Linked DNA regions of Tribolium castaneum. The protein of the gene in region 2 interacts with the protein of the main gene of each other region in a pairwise test. Links are inferred from orthologs where the notes say so. Each region holds a gene or a part of one and is shown on either strand. Other genes may lie near its edges.

Region 1 (3,665 bases), on a different chromosome or scaffold from region 2:
ACTCGTATAATTTTATACTATTTTATGAACGTCTATTCTGATTACTAATTTCCACACTTATTTATTTAGTATTTATTTATCCATCTAATTTTTATTTGGGCAAAATATAGCCAAGGCTCAACATAACCAAGTACAAAAAAAAATAAAAAAATAAAGTAGTTACTTTATTAAAAAAATTAGAAGATGGATAAAGCCGTCTAAAAATGATAGGTATATACAACACTAGAGGAAAGTCTCTTCTGTCCCCCAAATGATTAATTTATCTTCAGGAGAAAATGCACGTCCTTCCCTTGGCACACAAACAGCAATTTTTCTAATTAGTTTAAGTGGACCGTCCCAATAATATTAACGTTCTTTAATAAAGATATTGGAAAGGGCCTCGGGGTGGGTTAATTTCCTTTTTAATTCTTTAGAAGCGCAAAGAGTTGGAAAAGCGGATGAATCGGGAATACGACGATTACATTAACGGAACGCAACGCACAATATCATTACTGGACAAAGAAGAAGCCCGGAAACAGAGGTTCGTGATTAAAATTTAAAAGGATGTAGCGAAATGTGTTTTTTCAGGGAAATGGTGAAAAGTTTAGCTGAGGAAAACCGAAAGTTGGCAGTGGAGCAAAAACAGCGTAAGGAGTTTTTGGAGAAAGTCGTTTATAAAAACACGCCAACGTCGGAATTCTACGACCAGTTTAATAAATCAACAAGATAATAAAAATGTGTTTTATTCAGTTTTAGTAGCGGAGTTGAGGGCCTGTTATTAGGCCCGAATCGTGTAGGTTTTTGATCGAAGTGGCAATAATTTTGGCCGATTTTTTCAAATAGCCGCCGCTGGTTAGCATGACGATTGGAATGTTCCGGGAACGGGCTTCCCGGAATACCAGTTCATCCCGTTCGATGATTCCCTGGAAAGTCAATCAGATAGTTTCATTGTTATGACAGTTATTAGTATCAACCTGGGGCGAGACTGATAAGCACCCCAAAGCGTCTCCTTTGAGAATATCCGTCCCGGCGTTGTAGACGATCAGCTGGGGGCAGAACTCGGCTAGCGCCTCGGTTAGGTTTTTTGCAACTTTGTCCAAATACTCGTCGTCTTCGGTAAAGTGTGCCAGTTCGACTTTTCGGGTGATGTACTCCTTGGCAAGTTTGTCGAACGGGTAAATCCCTTTGTTGTACACGTCTATGATGTAGACGTTGGGATTATCTTTAAAATCCCGCTGATATCCATTACCTTGATGAGCGTCTAAATCCACGATCATGACATTTTGAACGCTCCGAGGGTGATGATTAAACACGAAATGGATCAATAGTGTTATATCAGCATACACACAAAACCCACCACCTTTGCTACCGCAACAATGGTGAAAACCGCCCCCGATATTTATTGCCCAGCCACGTTCCAGAGCTAACTTTCCCGCCAAAACAGAACCGCCAGTCTGGAACCGCATCGGACGCAAATATCCCCTTTGAACCAAGTAATTTGGCACGAGACACAGCGGAAGCACTTCCGCTATCAGCGCTACGTTAAAACTACACTACAAGAAAAAAATTACCGCATGAAAAACCCCCAAAAATATTTACTTTCAGACTTTTCAAATACTTTTTAGTGTGCACCGTTAATAAGTCTTCAGTTGTTGCTTCATTTGGCACCGAAAGCGTTTCGTCGTTAACTAAACCACAACTTTTCAAATATTTATAAATATTGCCCCACTTGCCGGCGTCGAAAGGGTGCAATTTTTCCAACCCCAAAAAACGGACATTGTATTCCGGGCGATAAATAATCGGCCATTGTTCCGGTCCAATATCTACATACAATTTCGTACTGGAAAATTATTTGCTCAAGTGGCGCCAAAAATTGGGATTCACTCACTTCATATTTGGCGCTCAATTCAAATTTCGCGCCAAAATTATCGATCGCCACTGCACCAGATATTTGAAATTAGGTCGATCCCCGTAAACACAAACAAACCGCAACACTATTTACCCCCACATTTAACGAAAATCTTTCAAATATTTGCAAATAATCGCACAGTTACTAAAATAAACGGAAATAATTGTCATTTCACTCTTATTCGCCTTACAGCTGGTGCTAGTTCGGCGCGACCTTCGGCAGATGTCTCCCCAAAATTTTCAAAATTCAATAAGTTGCAAGCGTAAAAAAACACATTTCTTTTATTGTTTTGCAATCAGGCAATTTAAATGTAAGTGTAATCAATAAACAAGCAAAATTTTTAGTGTTTGAGGTAAAAAAAAAGCTTTCAGCGTGTAATTATTTTATTAAGATGTTTTTTACAAGTCGTTCAATTTAATACAGAAACAAAAATAGAACAGTGCAAAATACACCAGCAGCCTCTTCGCCTGGAATACCTTCTAGGTTTTTGCTCGGCGCTTCATTCGAAATTAGCGCCGACACTTATCGATCGTTCCACCTGTAAAATTAGACCGACTCCCCGTAAACACAAACAAATCGCCACATTATTTACACCCACATTTGGTCAAAATTCTTCGTTATTTGCAAATAATCGCACAATTATTGAAATAAACGTGAATAATCCTCATTTGACTGTTTTAATTTGTGCTCGTTTGGTGTGACCTTCGGCAGATGTCTCTGTCACATTTTCAAAATTTGAAATCCTTCAAAAAATGTCATCGTAATGGTTTTTTGGAGTTATTATTATGATAAGTTCAGGGGATATTAATATTCAGTAAGTTTGGAATAGATAAATAAGATACGAATTTATCGTTCTGTAGAAATTTCCAGTCACTTATTGAAAATTATGAGGCTGCTCTCAAGGAGGTGACCGGGGATTTGGACGACGTCCAAGTAACAAATTTGTGAATTTTTTCACAAAAGTGTGACTAAAACATGTTTTTAGGCCGAACAAAAAGCACTCAAGAGAGCCCTCCACGAAAATAGTCAATTGAGAGATGAATTAGGGCGAGTTTACGTCGATATAACTAAATGTGAAGTTGAACATACGTACAAAGAGAGCGATTTGGTTGAAAATTTGAAGAAACAACTGCACACTGTAATTGAAGAAAAAGAACAAGCGGTCAAATTATGGCAAAATGCCGCATCTACTGTTGAACTCCTTGAGTCAGAGCTGCGAATTTTTCACGAAAACACCGAAGGATTTATTCCGAAAAACCAACTCACACAAGTAAATAATAGTTTTTGTTAATTTCGTCAGGTACGAGATTTTTTTGTAGTTGAAAAATTCGTACGAAGCGAAATTAAATGAATTGCAAGACACAGTCGTTCGGACGAAAGTCAAATTAGAGGAAACAATTAATTTAAAGTCGAAGGAATTGCAAATTAAAGACAAGGAAATTATTGGAAGTCTCCAAAGTCAGGACAACACATTTAAAATAATAAAAAATCTCGAAGACGAAATTCTGAACCTCCAACAAAGACTCAACGACTCGAACGGAAATAAGGAGAAGTTGGAAAAAGACGTCCGTCTCAAAAATGAAGAAATCGACGCTTTGAAACTCAAAGTCAAAGAATGTAAAGCCAAAGTTTCGGAAGCTCTTCAAGTTGTTGAAGCGGCGCTTAACGAAAAAGACGCGGCGCTTTTGCGCGAAGCTGAAGCCAAAGGTAAATTCCCCTTGTTTTTCGCTTTAAACCGTTTTTTTGCAGAAGAAACAGCGCGATTTTCCCAAACTTT
Region 2 (3,836 bases):
TATTTGAGGAAAATATTTGCCCTGCACCACTTATCCTTGAAACTGGCTTAGAAAAACAAGAATTTGTTTGGTACTTCCGACGTGTCAACAAATCTTTATTTTTAAAGGATTGATTCTAGAATTTGTGTTTGACGCAATTATCGTTTGCATAATGTTTGCACTGGAATATAAATGCATCCGGTTGGGTTTTTGCTACGGAGGACTATGACTTAGGAGACGGAACGAGATGCAGAATCGTGGGATTTTCTGGACCCAAAAAGTGAAGCAAAAATGTGGGCACTTCGAGCGTTATACCGGCGCCAAGTCGTTTTAAATTAATTTAAATTCATTCAATTATTCACTAATTACTTGAAAAAAAAAATGCAGGAATGTTGAGTTTTGCACTCTGAACAGACTGAGAAAAGCTGATCGTATTCCCAGCGTTTTGAAAAATATGGGATAGAGTGCTAATTGGCAAAGATTGAAATTTTTTTAAATGTAGTTTACGGTATTTTTTTTTCATTATGTTTATGTCTTACTATTGAGAATTTAATGCTCCATTTGCCTGTATTTTTTTGCTGTGTTAACCGATATACGAATACAATTTTTTCAAATCCATTGCTTTGGAAGGGAACGTTTTATTTGTACGACGTTTCGTATCCTAACCTTTAGATATCCGTAGTTTTTTAGGACTAGGTAACCAATAACACACCAATTAGATTATAAATAAATATTTATTAAATCCAAACAAATCAGACAGATTAAAACGCGTTAATGGGTCGAATTATTCAAGGAAGTGCTGTTAAAAAGCCGGTCTTTGATCATTTGGGCCATCAGTCCGTGAATAATCTCAATCGTAGTCTTGCAACTGTCCTTTGTAGCTTTCAACAGTTTGTCTTCTGTTCGTTTTTCGTGCGGATCAGTGCCGCCTACGATGAACCCCCCGCGCCCAATGGCCGCTTCCGACTGTTCCAACTTCTCCGACAAATCAAAAATTTGCCCAGTTGTGTAATCAGCATTCGTTAACAAACTAGACGAGCTCAAAGTATTGACCCAATATTTGTTCCACAAGGAATCAAGCAATCGCCTATCAAGTGACGATTTAAAATACGACACTTCAAGCGAATAATATTGTTTGCAATGCACCCCAAAATCCTCGATTTTGTTCAGAGGAATGGTCTGGTACTCTGACGGTTCCTCATTTGCTGGTTTGTACCCTTTCGGGTACGTCCTGAACGCCCCTAGACACACCTTCCCCGCGGAAATGGTTCTCACAGGATCAATCACAATGGCAACGAACGGTTCCTGGAAATTCTGGTTGAGCATCTGGGTGCCAACGTCAATCCCAGACAACCAGCACCCGTATCCCGGGTGGCTGTGGTACCAGCCTATCGCGTTCTCCTGGCGGCCCACCAGCTTCGCAGCCTCGATGTACGAACTCATGTACTCGTAAGCCTGAGCTTGTGCGTTGACTCGGGTCTCTGTCCCTTCCACAGGCAGCGCAAACGAGTCCATCACAAACATTGTGTTTCCGTCGACTTTGCCCAAAATCAGGCCCATGACCTCCAGGGTGCCCCCCGAACGCGCGTGCATGACCATTTTCAAGAGGGCCAAGGCCGAGATTTTGATATCTTTGAAGAAGTGAGGGCTGGAAATTGAGATTAGGTAAAGTGAGGTTAGGGCCGACTTTTGCCTACTCTTTCTCCCAGGGCTTCGCGGCGAGGATGTCTTGCTGCTGCTTCTTGTCGTAGCGGTAAATATCGTCGACCGAGTTCACCAGTTCGACTTTATTGGCCATTTCCCAGGTTTTTTGTGCGATTTGTTCCTGGGTTTCGGAGGTCCCCGGCTTCGACATTGCGGCAAAAGGGGGCAAAAGCTAATCACAAATGGAGAGTTATTGCGAAAATGACGAGGATTTACCGTAATTCTGGGCTATTTTGGGCAAAAATTCGAAAAAATCGGACCTGTCAAAACACAGATGTCAAATTACAGCGCTACCAATCGTAAATATAAAAACTGGAAGGACACTTTTTTAATTTTTTTTTTTAGATATGGGACGATTTACGTATTAATTGCTGTAATAATGAGACAATGCATAATGGTAATGAAAAAAAATCGATAAATTGTTTGTGGCACAAACCGACAAGGAGTTTTGTCACAGAAAATAATTATTTTACGAGTGGCTTGGCATTTGGTGGCCCGTTATTGCCTTCATTGGGCTATTTTTACCGAATTGTGTTTTTCAAGGTGGGACAGGTGTTCGCAAAGTGTGTTAACAGTCCTGCAGATGTCGTCCCATTAGCGTTTTTCTTTTGTTTTTTTCCCATTTGCACGAAACGACTTTGTGTTGGTTTTTGCGAACGTAAAGCCCGGCCGTAATTCGGTGTAACGTTATGGGAGTATAATTGGAGTCTCATCGTTTAAAACCCATAAACAAGTCCAACCACACCCTGACAGTTTTATTAGGGTGGTTTTTTAGCAGTTGGCAATTCTAAAGCGTCTTAAATCAAACCGACCAATCAGCGGGCGGCATTCGGTGCATAATGGTGGGGCGCCCGCCATTTTGATTCGAGATTATGCGCGTTTTAGTTAAAGAAAAGTTTGTAATAAGTAGTGTGGTAACGTTGTGTTGTAGAATTTGTGCTCGTTTTAAATAGGATTTTAGGAGGATAAGGTGAGTTTTGGGCCAAGTGGTCAATTAAATAGCATATTTTTGGGTCCGGGGGGCGATTTCCGCTAACAAATGCCGGCGAAAATGTCGTAGTTTTCGCGATTTGGGACGTTAGAGTCGAGGGATGCGCGCCGGTTGTCGCAGAATTCAAAAATTGGGGCCATGCTTGAGGCTGGGGGCTGTTGCTAGGCCGCGTTCTTTGTTAGTGCACGTCCCCCGTAATTAGGGGCGAATTCGTGACTTGGGGTCCGAGGGTGAGTCAGGGTGTCGGTGTGGCACCCACATGTCTGTGCCGAAAATCCCCAACGGAACGACCATTGTGGTGCACTTGCATTGTTCGGTTATCGCTTATTTCAAACGCAATTTGTTTATTATCTGTCTTCTTGCAATGTAATACGCGCCTGTAAAAAATTCAAATCCAAGGCCACATACTCGCGTATTGAAACACGATGAATTCCTTTCCTCCCGTTCGAACTAAATTTAGACTAGGGGATTTTACCCCCGAATTAAAAATAACCAGGTTTTTTACGCGTAAACCGGGTTTTTAAACGAGTCCAGATACCACCTGCTGCGAATTTTAAAATAACCGCAAGGATTTCCAGCGAATGCAGCTTTGTTTCAATTTAGGTGAGTTTTTGGTGGGTTCAACGGTATTTCCAACTAGTTTCGTGATGTATAGGCTCTTTGTAGTGCGGATAATGTTCTAAGCTGTGACAGTTTCAAGATTAATTTTGACTCCCAACCGGTTATTCTCCAGTAAAAGTTTACGGCTCTAAATCGTGACAATTAAATTAATAATTGTTATGCTTACATTGTAATATTGCGTGAAGGACGCTTTTTAAATTATTGACAGAAACGTGAAAAGCAGTCCCGATCTATTCTCGTTATTACAGTGGGGTCCGGTTATAACGAAATACATCAAAATCAGTTCGCTATAAGCGTAAATTTTCAAATAAAGTGTTTTTTAGCAGTAATTTTTACCCTACATATGAAATAAGACGAAATAAATAAGTATATATAGCAAAAAATTTTTATATGCAGAGTTTTGGTTGGCGAATAAATTTGGGACCAACAAGTCAGTCAAAATTTTGACTTTTAGCTGCCAACTTTCTCATTAAAATTAAGCTACTTTCGTTTTTTTGTTTAGTTGAGACACCCTGTATGAGAAACTTGGCGAGAATTCGGG

The links.
Region 1: the proteins of CSN5 (region 2) and HDAC11 interact in a two-hybrid assay, tested with the Caenorhabditis elegans proteins (2 studies listed by BioGRID). The link is inferred for Tribolium castaneum from reciprocal best matches to the Caenorhabditis elegans genes csn-5 and hda-11.

The regions. Positions count from the first base shown.
Region 1 is NC_087402.1:4,112,259-4,115,923, forward strand, and holds HDAC11 (histone deacetylase 11), read right to left. Parts: upstream 2,114-3,665; 5' UTR 1,873-2,113; coding exon 1,868-1,872; intron 1,820-1,867; coding exon 1,579-1,819; intron 1,533-1,578; coding exon 954-1,532; intron 903-953; coding exon 732-902; 3' UTR 710-731; downstream 1-709. Other genes in the region: RIB43A-like with coiled-coils protein 2, read left to right, coding at 414-520, 568-709; myosin-9, read left to right, coding at 2,674-2,702, 2,749-2,821, 2,874-3,158, 3,208-3,595, 3,638-3,665.
Region 2 is NC_087395.1:23,654,414-23,658,249, forward strand, and holds CSN5 (COP9 signalosome complex subunit 5), read right to left. Parts: upstream 2,221-3,836; 5' UTR 1,900-2,220; exon of another isoform or gene 1,856-1,899; 5' UTR 1,835-1,855; coding exon 1,677-1,834; intron 1,628-1,676; coding exon 751-1,627; 3' UTR 695-750; downstream 1-694. UniProt on the Caenorhabditis elegans protein: Probable protease subunit of the COP9 signalosome complex (CSN), a complex involved in various cellular and developmental processes.